4 linked regions of the Neurospora crassa OR74A genome follow. The protein of the gene in region 2 binds, or shares a complex with, the protein of the main gene of each other region. Links are inferred from orthologs where the notes say so. Each region holds a gene or a part of one and is shown on either strand. Other genes may lie near its edges.

Evidence for each region.
Region 1: NCU02813 (region 2) and NCU03876 share a complex: the UniProt entries of both Schizosaccharomyces pombe proteins name them as parts of the eukaryotic translation initiation factor 3 (eIF-3) complex. The link is inferred for Neurospora crassa OR74A from reciprocal best matches to the Schizosaccharomyces pombe genes tif313 and sum1.
Region 3: NCU02813 (region 2) and NCU00040 share a complex: the UniProt entries of both Schizosaccharomyces pombe proteins name them as parts of the eukaryotic translation initiation factor 3 (eIF-3) complex. The link is inferred for Neurospora crassa OR74A from reciprocal best matches to the Schizosaccharomyces pombe genes tif313 and tif301.
Region 4: NCU02813 (region 2) and NCU05889 share a complex: the UniProt entries of both Schizosaccharomyces pombe proteins name them as parts of the eukaryotic translation initiation factor 3 (eIF-3) complex. The link is inferred for Neurospora crassa OR74A from reciprocal best matches to the Schizosaccharomyces pombe genes tif313 and int6.

The regions. Positions count from the first base shown.
Region 1 is NC_026506.1:1,994,392-1,999,499, reverse strand, and holds NCU03876 (eukaryotic translation initiation factor 3 subunit 2), read left to right. Parts: upstream 1-1,919; 5' UTR 1,920-2,181; coding exon 2,182-2,231; intron 2,232-2,358; coding exon 2,359-2,956; intron 2,957-3,088; coding exon 3,089-3,481; 3' UTR 3,482-3,964; downstream 3,965-5,108. Other genes in the region: NCU03877 (C-1-tetrahydrofolate synthase), read right to left, coding at 94-114, 180-876; crf4-1 (chromatin remodelling complex ATPase chain ISW1), read right to left, coding at 4,432-4,569, 4,637-5,108. UniProt on the Schizosaccharomyces pombe protein: Component of the eukaryotic translation initiation factor 3 (eIF-3) complex, which is involved in protein synthesis of a specialized repertoire of mRNAs and, together with other initiation factors, stimulates binding of mRNA and methionyl-tRNAi to the 40S ribosome.
Region 2 is NC_026501.1:9,033,882-9,039,001, reverse strand, and holds NCU02813 (eukaryotic translation initiation factor 3 subunit M), read right to left. Parts: upstream 3,320-5,120; 5' UTR 2,864-3,319; coding exon 2,322-2,863; intron 2,250-2,321; coding exon 1,487-2,249; 3' UTR 1,032-1,486; downstream 1-1,031. Other genes in the region: NCU02812 (uridylate kinase), read left to right, coding at 1-661; prd-4 (serine/threonine-protein kinase chk2), read left to right, coding at 4,898-4,942, 5,087-5,120. UniProt on the Schizosaccharomyces pombe protein: Component of the eukaryotic translation initiation factor 3 (eIF-3) complex, which is involved in protein synthesis of a specialized repertoire of mRNAs and, together with other initiation factors, stimulates binding of mRNA and methionyl-tRNAi to the 40S ribosome.
Region 3 is NC_026503.1:2,371,986-2,375,197, forward strand, and holds the end of NCU00040 (eukaryotic translation initiation factor 3 110 kDa subunit), read right to left. Parts: coding exon 2,125-3,212; 3' UTR 1,656-2,124; downstream 1-1,655. UniProt on the Schizosaccharomyces pombe protein: RNA-binding component of the eukaryotic translation initiation factor 3 (eIF-3) complex, which is involved in protein synthesis of a specialized repertoire of mRNAs and, together with other initiation factors, stimulates binding of mRNA and methionyl-tRNAi to the 40S ribosome.
Region 4 is NC_026507.1:4,173,356-4,178,583, reverse strand, and holds NCU05889 (eukaryotic translation initiation factor 3 subunit 6), read left to right. Parts: upstream 1-1,555; 5' UTR 1,556-1,896; coding exon 1,897-2,313; intron 2,314-2,385; coding exon 2,386-3,300; 3' UTR 3,301-4,073; downstream 4,074-5,228. Other genes in the region: NCU05890 (hypothetical protein), read right to left, coding at 135-185, 463-909; NCU11305 (hypothetical protein), read left to right, coding at 4,472-4,533, 4,789-5,228. UniProt on the Schizosaccharomyces pombe protein: Component of the eukaryotic translation initiation factor 3 (eIF-3) complex, which is involved in protein synthesis of a specialized repertoire of mRNAs and, together with other initiation factors, stimulates binding of mRNA and methionyl-tRNAi to the 40S ribosome.

The sequences.
Region 1 (5,108 bases), on a different chromosome or scaffold from region 2:
CGGTCAGTCAGCAAGGGACAATGCGTGGCACAGAAATGTTGCTGTGACGGCGGGGTAGATAAAGTGGTGGACGGTGCAGCAGTCTCAACGTACAGGAATCGGATCGATCACCAACTGCAGTCAACTGGTTAGCCACTGGGTTTCATCTGCAAAAGCACGCAGCACACACACAAGCGCACCTTGGATGATCTTGAGGCAGGGGCGGAAGCGCGGGTTGGTCTTCTTGGTCTCGTCGATGGTAGCGCGGAGACCGTCGCGGATGCGCTTGGCCAGCGCGGTGCCGTCGATCTTGGAGGCCATTGCTGCTTCAGGCTCCCTTGTTGCGGCTCTGGGAGAAGCTAAACTGGAATATGTCCTGATGGAGCTGCGCGGATGGCCAAAAGCAGCAGCGTATCGAGAGACAGGACCCTGAATGTGAGAGAAGCGGGAGGAGGAAGATGGTGCAAAGGGTAAAGTGTCAGGCAGAGGCAGAGTTGAAGATGAGGGGGAGAGCAGCGCATTAGCTCCAAAATCGCTAGCAGCTGCTGCCCCGGCGCATGACGGTGACACCAGAATCGACCCCGTAAGCCCCGTCACTGGAGATAGGCGCCAATAACGGGATTTCTTAGGGCGGCTGCAGGTGGATCGCGGGGCGGCGGAGAAGTCAGTGGTACCAGCTGCAGAGGCGACGAAAGCCGAGGTAGAGCTCCGAGAGTCGGATTCCGTGCCCCACGACAATGTCCATCTTTTGAGCACGTCTTGTCCCGTATGCTCGACTTGAATGCGCCGCCGTGTGTTCAGCGACCCGTGTGCGGACAGGGATGTGAGACAGCTTCCGGCTCGACGCGACTTCCTTGACGTGGAAGACACCCTCTGGATGAAGCTGGAGATGGCCATGCCTACACGACGCAGACTGGTACTGTAGAGCTAGAAGAAGGGTGCAGTGGTCTTTCTGCGTGCGTGCTGTAACAACATCACACTGAACAGCAGCGGACGCAGGCTCGGGGTAAGGGATATTCAGAAGCTCAAGACTTCCGCCCGGCCAAGCTCTCTCGACGCCCCCGGGCACCTCCACGACGGGGTGGGACCAGACGGATTCGGGACCCAGGGGTTTTCTGCGCCGCACAGAAGAGTCACAATGGGTTCCCGCCTAGGTAGACGACGGGGGATCGATGTCGAGGATCCAATGATCGCCGGTTTGCTGGCGGGAATAGAGGTTTCGTGATTTGTGATTTTTTTTTCTTTTTTTTTTCTTTCTTTCCCTTCTCGAGGAGTCACCGAAGGTGAGCGTCTCAAGACGTGCCGCAAATGACCAGTGTAAATGTGACAACAAAACGTGAAGCCAATGAGATAACCTAAATAGAATAGAGCCCAAACCCAAGCTTCTCAAAATAGTACGTATTCACCATGCATTCTTGCAAGAATCCTACCATGTCTCGTTAGAAAAGCCTCTATTTCCGTCTACAAATCTCCGAGAGTTGAAGAACTTTTCCTCCTCGATGCGACCCCCGGAAGAGGGCATTCATATAACTGCAATTGAAGTGGGTGTCTAGATGCTGCATCCATGACTCTACAAGTTCTCGGCTTGCTGCAGGTAGCAGCTCGGATCATGATGTGCTCGCACTGTCCTGTCTGTGTCGTTGTTCTAGATTGAAGTTGGTGTGGCTTGCGGCCGCGGCACAGGCTTGACGAATACAGCTGACTCTTAAACTCTGAGTCACAGACTGAGCCACAACTTCTTATCGGTGGCTGTCGACGGGCCGGCAGGCTGCGAGCGGCGGATCGAGGTGGCAGGCTGCATCGCAAGGTCCAGAGTCCGGTCCGAACTGAAACCAGCAGCTTCAATGGATGGCACACGGCTGGCTGGGACGAGGGACTGGAGAGGGGCAGCTTGGCATCTGCAGGGATAGGTGTTGGTTCGCCCCGCGGCCGTCAGAATCCGCCAGAGCCAGCCAGCCTATCGCGCACAATCTGCGGAAAAATTACTGGGAGTGGAAATCCACCCAAAGAAAGAACACCAAAGACCGATCCGACGACGACGACCGCATCTACAAAGACACTAATCCACCCACCTACCTCCCAAGTCGTGCAACCCCCCCCCGCGATATTTCTCGACGACGAATCCACTCAGTGTCTTCTAACGACCATAACACTTCCATACCGCCGTCCACGCCTCGTCATATTTAATAACCCACAATCAAGATGAGGCCCATTCTTCTTTCGGGCCACGAACGTGCCCTCACCCAGATCAAGTTCGTCTTCCCTCCGCATCATCATCGCATACCTTACCCGCCGACCCGACCCCTCTTGGTGTTCTGGCTTTGGCATGTCGGGCATATAGAGATGCAGCCTCTAACAGCAACCCTTTACCCCCAACAGGTACAACCGCGACGGTGATTTGCTCTTCTCAGTTTCCAAGGACCAGCAGATTTGCGTTTGGTTCGCGCACAACGGCGAGCGTCTCGGTACATACCACGGCCACCAGGGCGCCATCTGGACCATTGATGTCGACCCCACATCCACCATCCTCGCCTCTGGTTCTGCCGACAACACCATCCGCCTTTGGGAGATCAAGACCGGCAGACTTCTTAAGACATGGGACTTCCCTACCGCCGTCAAGCGCGTTGAGTTCAGTGAGGATGGCAGCAAGCTTCTGGGTGTGACGGAGAAGCGCATGGGTCATCTGGGTACCATCGTTGTCCTCGACATCAAGCTCGATGTTGACGCCGAGCAGAGCGATGAGAAGGCCATGACTATCGTTTGCGAGGACAGCAAGGCCACTGTTGCTGGCTGGAGTTATCTCAGCAAGTACATCATTGCCGGCCACGAAGACGGCTCCGTCTCCCAGTTCGACGGCAAGAACGGCGACCTCCTCTACAACATCCCCATCCACGAGCTCAACCAGCCCATCACCGATCTCCAGTGGTCGCACGACCGTACATACTTCATTACCGCCTCCAAGGACAAGACCTCCAAGGTATGTCACATGGCTCCACAACCCCCCCCCCCCCCCTTTTTTTTTTCTTTCTTTGGTCTTCTTCCCGGATCCTTAAAACCGAAATCAATGAACAGTCAATCGCATGCTAACACTCCTTGATTATTTTCACAGCTCATCACAGCTAAGGACCTGGAGGTCCTCAAGACCTACCCCGCCGACACCCCTCTTAACAGCGCTACCATCACTCGCAAGAAGGACTTCGTCATTCTCGGTGGTGGTCAGGCTGCCATGGATGTCACCACCACCTCCGCGCGTCAGGGTAAATTCGAGGCGCGTTTCTACCACAAGATCTTCGAGAGCGAAATTGGTCGTGTGCGCGGTCACTTCGGTCCCCTCAACACGGTTGCCGCCGACCCGACCGGCAAGAGCTACGCCAGCGGTGGTGAGGACGGTTACGTCCGTATCCATCACTTCGACAAGGGTTACTTTGACTTTATGTACGAGGTCGAGAGGGAGAGGCAAAACAAGCTCAACCAGCAACAACAGCAGACCATTTCTGCCTAAACGGATCCCTTCTATCGACATCGATCGAAACTTTCGGACTTTCAGCAAGCAGGATCCGAGGAGGGGCGGCAGAAAGGGGCGGAAAGGCGATTCGCGGGACGAAATATGGGTGTCGTGTTATTGAGTTCAGGATTCTCTCGACTTGTCGGAGGAAGGAAATGAGCAAACGGGTTATTTTACATCGCGCGTCCAGGGATCCAACAATTTGGGGGAAATGGGCATTTCACAAACGGCGTTTTTTTCAGGCAACCTAATCTGAGAATTTGGGCGATTCCACCCAATATTTGGTGAAAAAAAAAGTGAAAAGGAGCAAAAATTGGAGCGATGAGGTGGTGCGGTTCGATGTGAAGCAAACGAACGAACAAGTGAGTCGCGCGGAGAGCGGATATGTAATTTCCATCTTGTCACGAAAGGAACCTTTGGTCCCTATCGAAGCACAGAAGAGTCATTTGTCATAGTTGAATTCGGTCGTTCTTCTGCTTACTATCTTGCGCAACCTCGTTCATGTGATATCAGATTGGACGTTATAAGTAGAGGTCTTTCGCCAATTGCTTACTCACTCCCTTATGGTCAATAAGAATCCAACACAAGTGGAAACAATAATACAGGGGTAAAGGAAGTACAAGACTGCGCACATCATGCCCTATTCATCCATCAGAGAACGGATTTGACCAAAAGGATATCTTTTGTTCCTCAGGTAGGCAGAGAAATCCCTCGCTAAATGACGGCAGGTGAGATAACCATCACCGAGACCGCAACATGAATACGACACAACGGAAACGCCGCGAGCCAACTGCATTAACCCTCCCTGGACTCTTCTCAGTGGTGAACCGAGCCCCTTCACCCAATCTAACCCAGTCATATGAAACGCAACTACAGCTTCGAATACCAAGCCAAGTCAATACATGTGCCGTAGCTTGTATTTTTGGTCTGGACCACCATCAGGCGGTCTACTTCTTCTTTCCCTTGGGGGCAGCCTTGCCCTTTGTCGCCTTCGATTCCGTCGACGCCACGCTTGACGCGCGCGAAGGGGCAGCCGAGGTGGCTTTGCTACCGGACGCTGACTTGACGTTGTCTAGCGCTTTGTTCTGTTACGCGGGTAAATTCAAGTTAGTACGAACATCTCCAAAGTGAGAAAAGCAGGGGATGGTTTACCTTGACACCATTAGCCTTGGTCTTCTTCTTGGCAGGAGCCAGGCCCAAAACACTGTCTTCGTCATTGTCTTCATCATTCGCTTCACGCTTGAGCTTGCCATTGACCCCGTTCACCTTGGCCTTGGTGGTGTTGCTAGGCTCGTCCTCAAACTCTTTGACGATCGTCGTCAGCAGAGTGTTGCAGCGACGGCTGATCTCAATGGGAGTACGGCTAAGGAAGAACCAATCGAAGCGAAAAAGAGGGCTCTCGCGGATCTCATCCCGGATCTTCTCGTAGATGCCCTCGGAATCGACGCCATACTTGTCCAGCATCACCAGAAGGAATCTGTCCTCCTCCTCCGTATAGACCTTCTTGTTAGTCGTCGAGACAGTGTAGTTGATCTTCAGTTGCTGCAATGGCACACGGTACTGGCTCATCTTCTTGCGCAACATCTTGCGCTGGTGTTCAATCTTGCGCATACGTTCCTCACCA
Region 2 (5,120 bases):
CTCCTCCTCCTCAGCCGCGGCTGCTCCCGCTCCCGCCACAACCACAACCCCCGCCTTCTCCCCCTCCGACGTAACCGTCATCTTCGTCCTCGGCGGCCCCGGCGCCGGCAAAGGCACCCAATGCGCCCGTCTCGTGCGCGACTACGGCTTCACCCACCTCTCGGCCGGCGACCTACTCCGCGCCGAACAAGACCGCCCGGGTTCCCAATACGGCCAGCTTATCCGGGACTGCATCAAGAACGGCGCCATCGTCCCCATGGAAGTCACCGTGGCCCTTCTCGAGAACGCCATGCGCGACACTCTGGTCTCTGGCAAAACCAAGACAGGCAGGTTCCTGATTGATGGCTTCCCGCGCAAGATGGACCAAGCTGTCAAGTTCGAAGAGGTCGTTTGCCCTGCGAAAATGGTGTTGTTCTATGATTGCCCGGAACAAGAAATGGAGAAGAGACTGCTGGAAAGAGGCAAGACGAGCGGGCGTGAAGATGATAATGCCGAGAGTATCAGGAAGCGGTTCAGGACGTTTGTGGAGACGAGCATGCCGGTTGTGGATCACTATGAGAGGGAAGGAAAGGTGGTCAAGGTGGATTCGACGCCGGGGCCGGAGAAGGTGTATGAGGAGACGAGAAAGCAGCTGAGGAGGGTGTTTGGGGATAAGTTTTAGTTAGTGTAGGGGGGGGGGGGGGATTGACTTGACTTGTCTTACTCCGGGGATGGGATGGGGGGTTGAGGTAAACTTGGTTTCTAGGTACTAATTCTGAGATGGGGTTGGCCGTTCCATTAGATAAAAACTTTTAAAATACTATACACTACTACAGATTTATTGGAAAGGGACGGAGCGATGGAGTCGCGGAGGCGGTTCGTGGATGGATGGGGATGGTTTTCTCCCGTTTGGAAATTGAACTTGCTCTGTCTTTTTCCAGATGTCGAGATGGCTTGGTATTGCGTTTATACTATTCATCGTTGGGAAGCCTGAGCATGATGATTCATTGTTCCCTTTGCTGCTGGTGGTCATAGACCTTGTCTCAAAAAGCATTGATATTACGCTTCCGTTGCCTTGTATATCCTGGGTATCATGATCTATACTCCACCTTTCTGGATTTGCCCTCACGCATCATATCATCCATCACTGATGTATAAATGGAGAGAGAAAACCTGATGATTGCTGGATATCTAAAGCTGCCATTCCTCGGAATGATACAACAACAACAAAAATGCAAATCCGCCAAAAAGTGTAGCAGCTCTACCTTGAAAATAGTGTTCCGTATTTTTTTGGGGCTCACAACTCCTTGATAGATAACAACAACAACCCGTTTTGATGTAGAATTCCTTTCCCATTCGAATGAACTGAACTGAACTGATGACCGAGCGGGATGATACAGGGGCAAGACATCGCTCTTTTTTCTTTTTGAAAGGTCCCCCCATATCTCTATGCTACTAACAACAACAACCAATTATTGCAGCAAAACATCCTGTTGGCAACCCCCCTTCAGTCATCATCATCCGTGCGTTGCCTCGTCTGTCTGGCACCGCCGGTACGTCCTCCCCGGTTGCCGCCGCGCTGCTCCGACTCGCCAAGACCGGCGTTGGCCAGCTTGCGCTCGAGCTCCTGCTGCTCACGCTCACGCTGGGCCTCGACATCGGTCTGGGCCTTGCGCACGACGCCGACGAGCCTATCGACGACCGTCTTGAACTGGTCGACGCGGGTGCCGAGCTCGCGCCACTGCTTCTCGCCAAAGACGCGGTAGGTGGTGCGGTGAACCAAGAACACCTTTTGCTTCTGTGACAGGCGGCCCTCGACCAGCTTGGAGCGGATCACGTCAATGGTCCACATCTCGACGTCCTCGTCGGGGATTTGGAGGGCCTTGGCGATGCTGGCGTAGGGGATCTCGCGGTTCGGGGTGCTGGCGGCGAGCGACGCAAAGGTGAGCAGGCGCATCTTGCGCTGCAGCTTCTCGTGGTCGAGCTTCTCGTTCTCGATCCATCCCTGGTGCTCGTCCCTAAAGTCGTTGTAGTCCTCGAGGTCCTGCTCGGTGAAGATGTCGAGGAGCTGCGAGTAGACGGGGTGCGAGTCGCTCAGGGCGTGGACCGAGGGGAGCGAGCGCAGGTCGTTGAAGTCGAAGCGGGTGGGCGACGAGATGGCCATGCGGAGGGCGCGGAGGGAGAGCTTCTGGGCCTCGTCGGAGGCGACCTCGTCCTGGTTGTCGCGGTCGAAAGTGGCCAGAGCCTTGAGGAGGTAGAAGTAGGACTCCCTGCAGACCAAAGGTTAGCATGAAGCCGTAAAGGTGCACAATGCATGATGCTATAAAAGGTAAAATACTCACTCCTGATCACCGCCGTCGTTGGCGGCATCGGAAACCTCGACGTAGAGCTTGCGCTGGCTCTCCGAGTCGGACTTCCATTCCTGGAGCCAGCCCTCGACGTTCTTTAACCTGGGCTTGAGGAGGTCGAACTGGCTGTTTTGCCTGATGAAGCGGACGATCTGCATAAAGACATTGAAGCGCAGCGGGTTGGACTTGTCGAGGAGGTTGAAGATGGTGGTGAGCGCATTGGAGGCCAGGGTGAAGCCGTGGGTGGGAGACGAGGTGATGGGCTTGAGAAGGTTGGCGCACAGGGTGGGCAGGTACTTCTTGGGCTCCTCGGACTGGAGGACGAGGTGGATGAGGAGGTTGTAGGCGGGGGTGAAGTCCTTCTCGGGGGCGGCGTTGAGGGAGTGGGAGGCCTTGACGATGAGGTCAAGGGCATCCTCGCGCTTGTCCTGCTCGAGGAGAGGCTGGACCTGCTCGCCGACCTGGACGAAGTCGGCCATCTCCTGCGCCAGCTCGGCGAAGGTGCCGTCGACGAAGATCAACTGGGGGGTAGCCATGTTGATGGGTGTTGACGGTGTGTGTGTGTGTGCGTGTGTGGTTGTTTGACGACGGGGCTATCGAACTATTCCCACTTGGACCTCAAGGCTGGAGTGAGGTCGGGTTGAGGCGAGACACACGGCGGGACGGAGTCAGGGACGGACGGGGGACACGGCGACGGGGAAAATATGGCCGGGGACAATCTGATAGTATGTCCTGGTGCTAAAGGTCGACACTGGCCGGAAACGATACGGATATCCTGTCAGACGTGGGAGGGAGGGGCGGGCCCCAAAGGAAGTTTTCTTAGTGGCAGGGCTCCGCTCTTTCTTTTTCTTTGCACAGTTCCTGGGCCTCGACTCGCTGAGTGGTGTGGTGTCCCTCTCTCATCCCATGGACGACAGAGACCTGACCGGACCCTCGACCCAATTTCTCAAAGCAAAAAAATGCCCCGCATTCCAATGCCAAGCCCACCGCCTATTTTTGCCCTGTGCTGAAGAAGAGCTGTTCTGTGTGCTCCAGCCAGTCACGTGCAGGAGCTGTGTCGATGGTCAGGGTTATTGCAGTCATCTGCTTGTGACATAGAAAACCCTGACCCATGGGGTGGTCCGTCCCAGCGAGGTCTTTGACAATGTCAAGCTCCCGGGCTTCAGTCCCTTTTCCTTTGCTTGTCACCGTGCGCTTGACATTGTCCCCAGCTTCTCCAAATCCGATCTTCTTAAAGTCACATTCCCATCCATGATTCTCTTACATGGATATCAACAAACGCACCTGATGAATAATCGAAGGATTCGAACTTGACAAATCCATTATCCAAGTCGAGATTTCTGACCACTCGAACAATATGATTTCCTATATGATGTGATGCACTCGATCGAGGTTCGCAGTTACTTGCCGTGGGCTGTGGAGATATCAACCACGGGAATGACGACACACCTTGATTGGAGTATTCGGCTGCATCAAAACAAAACTATTGAACTCGCTACATCATCGAATATTTTCTTTTCGACTTTTCACCATCGTATCCATCAGGACAAAAATGGGACTCTAGCCAGTTGCAACAGTCACCTTTGTAAGCTAGGTCACCTAAAACACAAACAGAAGCGGGAAGCAAAGAGGGGGTCACGGGGCATCCGAATCGGATATCCAGGCAGACACTTAAAAGTGTGGTGGTGACCCGGGCAACGGCCACCTTCCATTACAGCCTGAGGATATTGTATCAGCTCCTTCCCTTTTCCACTGACGTGATGGGAGTCTCAAAATAACAAATGACCGGCACGCCTGACAGCCCAGAAGGATGGTGAAGAGTCACAATGAACCCACAATAGATTCCCGAGAAAAAGAGTGATGACCAACCAGCCCTACGCTACTATGTATGCAATGCACATGGTGACATTCAACCAGGGCTGAGGGTGTGCACCGCCGAAAGAAAGTCAACAAGTGTACCTAGCGTACAGAGACAGCAACAGTAAACAAAGCCCCGTGGGGGTATAACTCAGATTGTATATACACGTGGATATTTCATAGAGCACTGAATAAAATCAATGTTGTCAACTGGATGCTGTTTCCCTTTCTGTGGATTTGTTGACTTAGACGCGCCAAAAGAGTGGAGTTATGGCGAGGCGCGGCGTGATTTCCAAGCGAAAAAGTGGAAGAAAGTGAGGAAAAGGGAAGCTTCCACTTGGGGCGCGGTCATCAAGGCCTAGGTTGTAAGGTAATGTACACTGTGAGTCCCTGACGTTGTATGGTTGCTTTCTGGTGGAGGCCCCCCCCCCCCCCAATACCTTAGCACTGCCCGCGGCCTATCCCAGTCCCTCGCGAACTGCACAGTAGCATCATTCAGTTCACTCAGTCAGTCATTCTCCCCAGCCCGGCGCCGTCACCACCACCACCACCACCACCCCATCTTTTTCCACTCTACTCTACATACAACCTTCCTGGAACACACCATCCCGCCACTTGATCATTTGAGATCCTCTCTTTTGAATCGAATCCTCAGCTCCGGCATTGACTGACCAACACACCACTCGACTCGTTGCCCTACAATCCCAGCAGCCATGGCTCCCCGAGCTGAAGGCAGCAGCACTCTTAAGAGAGCTCGCGTACGTCCATCCACTCCCCCATCCCATATGTCATGTCATGCTATGTCATGACTACATTATACCTCGAGCTTTTGATTAGGTAGTCCATGGCGCATTGCGTCACCACCAAGCATGCTCCGTCGACTAATATGCGCTTTACTTCAGGGTTCTACCGACGACAACGATTCCTTCAAGAAAC
Region 3 (3,212 bases), on a different chromosome or scaffold from region 2:
TCTCCTTCAACGCCTTTGAGGCTAGATGATATCAGTCTCACGGCGTTACGCGATTCTTACTTTTCAACTTCCTTAATTGCCATCTTCAACTTCGCATTCTCATCTTTATTTCTGTATGGATATTGAGTTGCAGCTGTTAATTTAATCCAGGGGCCATCAACGGCTACAACCTTTAAGAAGTACTACGCAATGACCATTGGAATAAAGGAGTAAGAAGCCAACCATATACCATTAACGATGTCCTGATCTCACCATATCACGGCTTCAAGCTTGGAGACATCTATATGCCCAGACTACCATTACATGTTTACCTCTCCCGAGAGCGAGAACTACAGCACGGTAATTACGATGGTTTTGAGGTCTGCTTCAGCAGCCTGACAACTACACAAATTACCCAATCTGAACATCTGCAACTGTTCGATGGGGCCAAGGGACCAAGAGCAGACTACATGGAAAATAAGGCTGTGCCCATCATCACCCGCTGGGCTGCAGAATCCTCTCGTACATGACGCGGTTTGCCCTCGAAGAAGGATGCATCGATCTGGAGTGGAAAAATTCGAGTACCGTGACGAGGCTATGCGTTCCTTCGCGGATGCCTCGTAATTCCGGAAGAATTACTACTACTGGTTATATCATAAAAACCCAAGTTATTGTCACGAGAGCGGGAGGTGTACTGATGTTGAGACATACATTAAATAGTATTGCGCCTCTCTTCACACTTCTCTCGGGAAAGATCGAAGAAAAAGCATAGAACCCAAACAATAAGACCAGATATCCCACCATGTCTCGATGTCAAATGTCAATCTGAAACCCTGTACCTATGCAGTAAAGACCCAAGTAAGTCTGGCGACTCTTTCCTTCATAATCACCCATGTCCAAATATCTTCTTTTTTTCTTGTGTTTTGTTTTTTGTGGTCATTTGTGGCACATGAAGATTCCTTCGAATTTCCACAACGGTAACCATTTGTCCCAAAGCAGACATTAGACAATCCCAATCCAGATATTGCTTGCCCGAATTTGATCAGTCACAAGTTTGGCCCATAACAAGGCCGTCAACAAGGTAGTTCGCGCTAGAAAACAAACGTCGGAAAGGTTTATCAGCCACAACCTCGTGTTGTAGGGTGCCTCACTGCATACGAGGGTGATGACAAACCTCTCAGAATGGCACAGCAAGCGCGAGAAAATTTGGTAATATGGAGTTCCTCACGACACGTAATATATAGTATATATACACAAATACCTACCTATCGACATGTCCAGCCATGCATGTCCTATGTCCCAAATTCACTTCCCCGGCTCTCCCTTTCAGTTCTCCCGGTCACCGTCGTAGCAGGCATTGCGAAACGTCAAAGAAACCCCCTGAGCAATATCAAAAGTGCAATATTGACAACGGCGAGGTGCGACAACGACGGATGATGACGCGACAGCCGGAAAACACGGTGCGATGGCGGGATGTTTGGAAGGAGGCTGATGCGACAAACTCAGGGGGTAGGTTAGCACGTCAGGTAGTGTAGTACCGGGGAGTGTGAAACAGAGCCGATGGAACAGTTTTTCTTGAAATTGGGAAAAGTAAAACGAAAAGCTTTGTTGAAGACTTTTGTGTCTTTGTCACCGTGGTGAAAGCAGTGATCGTCGACCGGGGTGTTCCCAAGCGACGGGGTTTTGGGGTCGATCGCTGCCCCGTCCTCATCTTGATCAGTGGAGCTGCGACGGTGGACGGAGAGTAACTCGTCCTTTAATATTGCAACGTAATTTCGAATTACCCCGAAACCAAGCCCTCGGATCTTTGGTCAAATTGTCGCTGAATTACAAAGGTACGCTATAAGACGTTACACGGAACATAAAGAGATTGATCAAGTACCGTAAAAGCGGTCGCCGCATGAAGAAGTTGTAAACAGCTTTTGGGACTTGTCATGACCATTAACCATCAACGTCTGGGAGGACTGGGACCATTTGAATGAATGAATGATAAACGTGAAGAAAAACGCACAACCACTTTTAGTCCAGTCTATACTGCAAGAGGTGCTCCCCATATTACGTGATGCTAGTTTACATGAACCTCGTAAAAAAGGGAGCGCGAACAACCCTTAACTCCCATGAGAACAAGTGCAAAGAGATAGACTCTTAAGCACCCTCACGTCTCCACTTGGGAACGTACTTGCCGGGAGCACCGCTCGCCTTCAAGGGCTCCGCAGGAGGGACGTCCCTGTCATTCTCAGGACGACCGGATCCAGCTCTCTGAGGGGCGGCAGCCCTGAGAGGAGGAGCGCTCCTCTCAGGGACGGCCGCAGCATTACCACCTCCGGAGGCGGCCTTGGCAGCCTCTCTCTCACGCCAGCTGGGGCGGTTGCCGGCAAGGGCCAGGCGGGGAGGAGCAGCAGCTTCTGTCCTCTCCGCAGGGGGGGCAGCGGCACGGGGTCTTTCGGCAACGGGCTCGGCGGCAGCAGGTGCGGGAGCGGCGGTCTCTCCAGAGGCGGCCTTGGCGGCCTCGCGCTCTCTCCAGCTGGGGCGGTTGCCAGCGAGGGCAATGCGGGGAGGAGCAGCAGCCTCGGTACGCTCCGCAGCCGCGGGGGGTCTGTAAGCAGAAGGGGTCGCGGCAAGCTTCTCCTTCTCGGCCTTGCGCCTGGCCATGGCCTCCTCCTCGCGCTGTTGCTGGCGAGCAGCAATCTCGCGCAACTTCTCACGCTCCTTCTCCTTCTCCTCCTTGAGACGCTGGAGCTCCTCCCGGCGAGCCTCCAGACGCTTCCTCTCTTCCTCCTTCTCCCTGGCGGCGCGCTCCTCGGCCTCGCGGAGCTGACGCTCACGCTCCTCACGCTCGCGCTTCTCGCGGATCCTCTTCTCGCGGGCCTCCTTGCGGCGGGCGTTGATCTGCTTCTCCATCTCACGCTCGGCATCACGACGGCGCTTCTCGAACTCATCACGGCGACGCTCGTGCAGGTCAGACCTAAAGGACTCGTAGAAGGGCATGAGGCGAGTGAGACGGTGCTTAAGCTCAACATCAGCCTTGTGCTTAAGCTCAGCCTCCTTGAGAGTCTGTGCCTTGGTACGCTCGTAGGCAGCGAGATCGCGCTCGCGCTGCTTGGCGTAGTCTTCGGGGAGCTTCTTAGCCTCCTCCTTTCTGAAGGCACGCTCAAGATGATCAAGACGCTTGCCGGTGATCCGGAGCTTCTCGGCGACGCTGTTCTTCTCACGTTCGAGTTGCTGGAGCTTGA
Region 4 (5,228 bases), on a different chromosome or scaffold from region 2:
ATGCCCCAGCATGCTCTCCAGTCCGTGGCATGGAGCAGCATGGTATCTCTCCCGGTAATAGGTTGGTCCTCGTCGTGTTATGTGGACTTGTGGCTGCAAGCTCTAGAGGTTCATCGGTGTAACATCTTCCTCATTTAAAAGCCCAAGCCGTCCAGGAACTTGACGATTTCCTCTCTGCGGTGTCCCTGTTTATGTTGGTAGTCCGTTAGCACCTGTCCTTTCTGCTGCAGGTTTAACCCTCTTCTTGTTTTCTTATCGCCCTATTCTTTTCTCCCATCTCAACCCGTTGTCCATTGTCCCATGATCTTCGAACCTCTACCTCTTTGCCTCTCTTTCCGAACTTCCAACTCTTTTCCGATTTCTCTTCCATTCATTCCCTCACTCTTGATGTCATACTGCCTCACCCTTCTTGCAAATAGCAGCAAACCGGCAATGCAAAAAAACCAAACAAAAAAAACTTACATCAACCTCCAAATGTCCTGTCGGCACCTTCACCCGCACCTCCTTCACCTCCAGCCCCAAGAACTGCGCAAGATCCCTGCGCAGAGCCTGGCCATCACCTTGCACCTTCTTGATCTGGGTGAGCTTCTTGTTACCACCGCGCTTGGCGAGGTGGTAGACGGGCAGACGCTGGGTCCAGGCGCGGCCTACTAGGTAGGGCTTCGCAACGGGTTTCGTGGATTCTGTTGGCGCGGCACCGGTCTGGGTCTGGATAGGGGTGGTGGGTTGTGTGGTGGGCTGCTGCTGCTGCTGCTGCTGGAGTGGTGTCGTTGTTGTGGCTGTTGTTGTTGGTTGCGATGCGGCGGCAGCGGCGGAGTAGAATCGGGACTGGAAGGCGGCGCGGACGGTGAGGGGCGTCGCGGGCTGGACGATGGCCCGGGAGAGGCCGAAGAAGGTCGAGCGGAACATGGTTGTGGTGTTGTGTTGTGTCGTGTGGTGGTGTGGTGGTGGTGGTAAAGACAGAAAGAGGTCGAATCGATCGAGCTGGGCTCGGTTGGTCGCAACGGGATCTGATAGGTAGGTAGGTAGGTAGGCTTGGCTGGGATCTGGAGTTAGGTCAGACTGGACCTGCGCTGCGGCCAAGAGGTCCCCGTTTCGGATGAGGCGCGTTCAATTGCTGGCTCGCTGGAGTCGGATCGGTCCCGCGTCCCGTGCCCTGGGCCGTGTTCCTCTCGGCGCGGCGGGTCCGTCGTCGGGTTCTGGAAATTTGGTCGGTACTCGGCAGAATTATTGACCGCCCGGGCGTCCCCGCGTAGGTACCCGCGCAGGTGCTCTGCCCCCCGTCCGGCGGGATGTGCGCCGAGCGAGAGGGACGAAAGCCTGAAACTGTGTGCCCAGGGCGTTCGCTGAAGCTCCAGGCCTTGGGGTGCCTGATCTGGGCTCTACACTTACCCCTCCCGTGGTGCCTAGACGGAAGTGGAAGTGGAAGTGGCACCGCATTCAGCTGCCGTGCAATTGTTGTGCGACAGAGGCAGCATTGAACCGAATTCGATGGCCCGTGCTTTTTGTCACTGGTCAGTGGTGTCAAGCGCATTTTCCCAATTTTCGACCCCACCAAAGATTGACGACGGGCCACCACAACTGGACGGGGTCACAAAGAGAAATTTGGCGGATCGCATTTCCAAAGCGCCTGGCAACTGAACGAACGAAGCTGGAGACCGGACACGCCCTTTCCATCCATATTCCTCTTCCTTTCACTTCTGATAGTAGTCGACCGACCCTCCCCCGGCCCTCTATCTTATCCCACCCACCGTAATACCCCCCCTCTCTCCTCTCCAGGCCTCGACTCGACCCGATTCCGACTTGACCTTGTCGTCGTCCACTCAGTGTCGTCTGTCATCACCACCATCCAACATCATCACCACCACCATAGTCACAGACACACAAATCCAAAACATGGCTTCCACATCCCCCGCCACCACCAACGGCGACGTTGCGCCCGCCAACTATGACCTCGTCCTCAAGCTCGCTCCCCATCTCGACCGCCACATGATCTTCCCTCTCCTCGAGTTCAACGCCGGCCGCCTTAAGGAAGATGAGACCGACAAGGCTCGCGAGATCCTCGCCGCCAAGTACGCCCTCCTCAAGAAGACCAACATGACCGACTACGTCGCCAACCTCTACTGCGAGCTCGAGGGTCTTAAGGAGCCCCCCGCCGAGTACGCCGAGCGCCGCCAAAAGGTCTTCCACCAGCTCGAAAAGTACGAGCAGGAGACTGCCAAGATCACCGAGCTGCTGCAGCGCGACGATGTCGTTAACAACCTCCGCTCCGACAAGGTGGCCAACTTGGAGTTCTTGAAGAAGGAGCACGACGTACGTCCTACTTTTTGTTTCCATCGGCACATGTGGCTTGTAGTACATGGCTAACCCCCATATCCTGTGCAGGTCACCATCGACATGGTCAACGCCCTCTACGACTTTGGCCAGCTCCAGTACTCGTGCGGCAACTACGCCGACGCCTCGGAGCTCCTCTACCGCTTCCGCGTCCTCTCCACCGACAACGACAAGGTCTCGTACGCCACATGGGGTCGTCTCGCCTGCGAGATCCTCACCATGAACTGGGAGTCCGCCATGGAGGAGCTGCAAAAGGTGCGCGAGAGCATCGACACCAGGCTCGCTAACAACCCCCTTGCTCAGCTGCAGCACCGCACCGAGCTCGTCCACTGGGCCCTCTTCCCCCTCTTCAACTACGACAAGGCCCGTGAGCCCCTCCTCGACCTCTTCTTCAACGCCGGCTTCATCAACACCATCCAGGCCAACTCGCCCTGGATCCTCCGCTATCTCACCGTCGCCGTCATCACCAACCGCGGCCGCGCTAAGAACGCCGGTGTCCACCAGAAGCAGATGAAGGACGTTGTTCGCATCGTCAAGCAGGAGGCCTACGAGTACCAGGACCCCATCACCCGCTTCGTCCACGCCTTGTGCATCGACTTTGACTTTGAGGAGGCTCAGCAACAGCTCGTGCTTGCCGAGGAGGTCCTCAGGAGCGACTTCTTCTTGCTCGCCCACGCCGATGACTTTGTCGACTCGGCCCGCCACCTCATCTTCGAGAGCTACTGCAAGATCCACGCCCGCATTTCGCTCAAGGACCTCAGCGCCCGCCTCGGTCTTAATAACGACGACGCCGAGAAGTGGATTGTCAACCTCATTCGCGACACCCGCCTCGACGCCAAGATCGACTACAAGGAGGGTACCGTTGTCATGAACCACCCCCCGAGCTCCGTGTATCAGCAGGTCATTGAGCGCACCAAGGGCGGTTTCTTCAGGACGCAGGTTTTGACTGCTGCTGTTGCCAGATAGGCGTGTGACAATAGCGGCAGTGGAGAACTGACTGATGGTGGCGGCAGAAGTATACCCGGGTCGACATGTCAGGAAAGCAAGGGCGATAAGAGGATTGTGAAGGAATGATTATGGCATGGGCTCGATCGCAACGCATGAAAGCGGCGACTGATTTCTCGTCGAATGTGAGACCAAGATTATCGCCGACGATTGGAACGCGGCGAGCATCAAGTGGCCAGGCGAACTCAGTCGCTTCATGGCAGGCGAACTGCTTCAGCGTATGGGCTTCAACTTGACCAGGACGAGTCTCGGATAGATCCCCTCCCAGCATCTTTTATGCCATTGCAATGAGAGGATTTGAAAGTGCGAATCCAAAAAGGGTTAGCGATGCATTTCGAAGAATAGACCTTTTTTTTCTTCTTTCGTTCTCATCTGCCTCGATAGTCTTCTCTATCTCTCAGCGTTTGGCAATTGTCGCTATTTGTCGTGTGGGCATGGGCTCGGGCGGTAGAGGCAGCAAGGGAATTAGGACAATGGAAGGAGGCCTTTTACGTCATGACAACAACCGGTGTAATCATACCTCTTTAGTGTGTGTGTTTTTTCTTTTTACAGGCTTCTCATCAGGCGTATCAAAATGGTTATGGCTCATTGCTTTTAGCTGGCTTATGAGTCAGGTTGCCTTTCCCATCAGTAACATTGTTCATCGCATCATGGTAACCTCCACTTGGTCCCTTCTTTATAGCAACTGAGCTGGGGTGATCAACCAGGAAAAACTGTGGCAACCAATTATTGAGGTATGCTCCTTCCCTTCCTCCATATCTGCGTGGTATCGTCCATCTCCCGCCTCTTCCCTTTTCACTCTTCTACCAGGGGCATTCTTATTTTCGTCCTTTCCAGCCTCCAATCAACATACAATATCCAAGCCACCAAGTTGGGCAGTTGTATTTGTCGCAGAACGACCAATGGCTGCCCGATACAGTTTCCAGCTAGGTAGGTTCATACGGCACAGGCTGACAGGCTGCAGCTGTATTGATATGGCGTTACCCCCGCTTCGAGTCCTTGTCTCCTTGAATTTTCAGTATGCCCGTCCTCGTTCATGAAAGATTTTGTGGAATCCCGTCATAACATCAGGCCTCTTCTATCTGAGATACGTAACCTGTCTTCAGGTTCAGTTCTTCCGCAGTCAGCAACGATGGTCAGAGCGCAGGGTATTTCGTTGCTCTTTGAACCGAATGATGTCGAGCCCGAGCTTGAGTGAGTCCGCCACTCCTATCTCATCCATTCAATGACTGTAGTTCGGGGCACACTGTTCAACGCGGCTTGCAGCATTATTTTCATCCATGGCTTCACAGGTCATCCACGCTTGACTTGGACGATTGATCAAAAAAAGGCTGAGAGAAGAAGAAAGGCAAATAGCGATGCCCCGAGCCACAATGTTCACAAAAGTGCGCAAACAGCAGACGTTTACTGGCCAAAGGACCTGGTTCCAGTAACGCTACCATCTGCCAGGGTCATGACTTTTGGCTACGATTCCAAGATACGACATTTCTCTCAAGGCCAGATCAGCAAAAACACAGTTCAAGACCATGCTCGGGAACTCTTGGAGCAATTGAGGGATAAGAGGCCGCCAGATGCAAAAGGATCTCGCCCGCTAGCCTTCATCGCACACAGCTTAGGTGGGCTAGTTGTCAGAGAAGCCCTCACTCTGGCCAGTCAACATCAGGATGATCAAATCAGTACCAGCCGCTACAAAGATATCTTCCGTTCCACCGTCGCCATCATGTTCTTTGGCACGCCTCATCGTGGTGCTGATCCTCGAAGCTCTTTTCATCGCTCTTTTTCCGCCTTCGCCATGCGACTGGGAATAGACGTCAATCCGTTTATTCTCGATGCCCTGATTCCGAACGTGAACAACATTCAGAAACCACTCAACCTGGACGGCTTCAAGA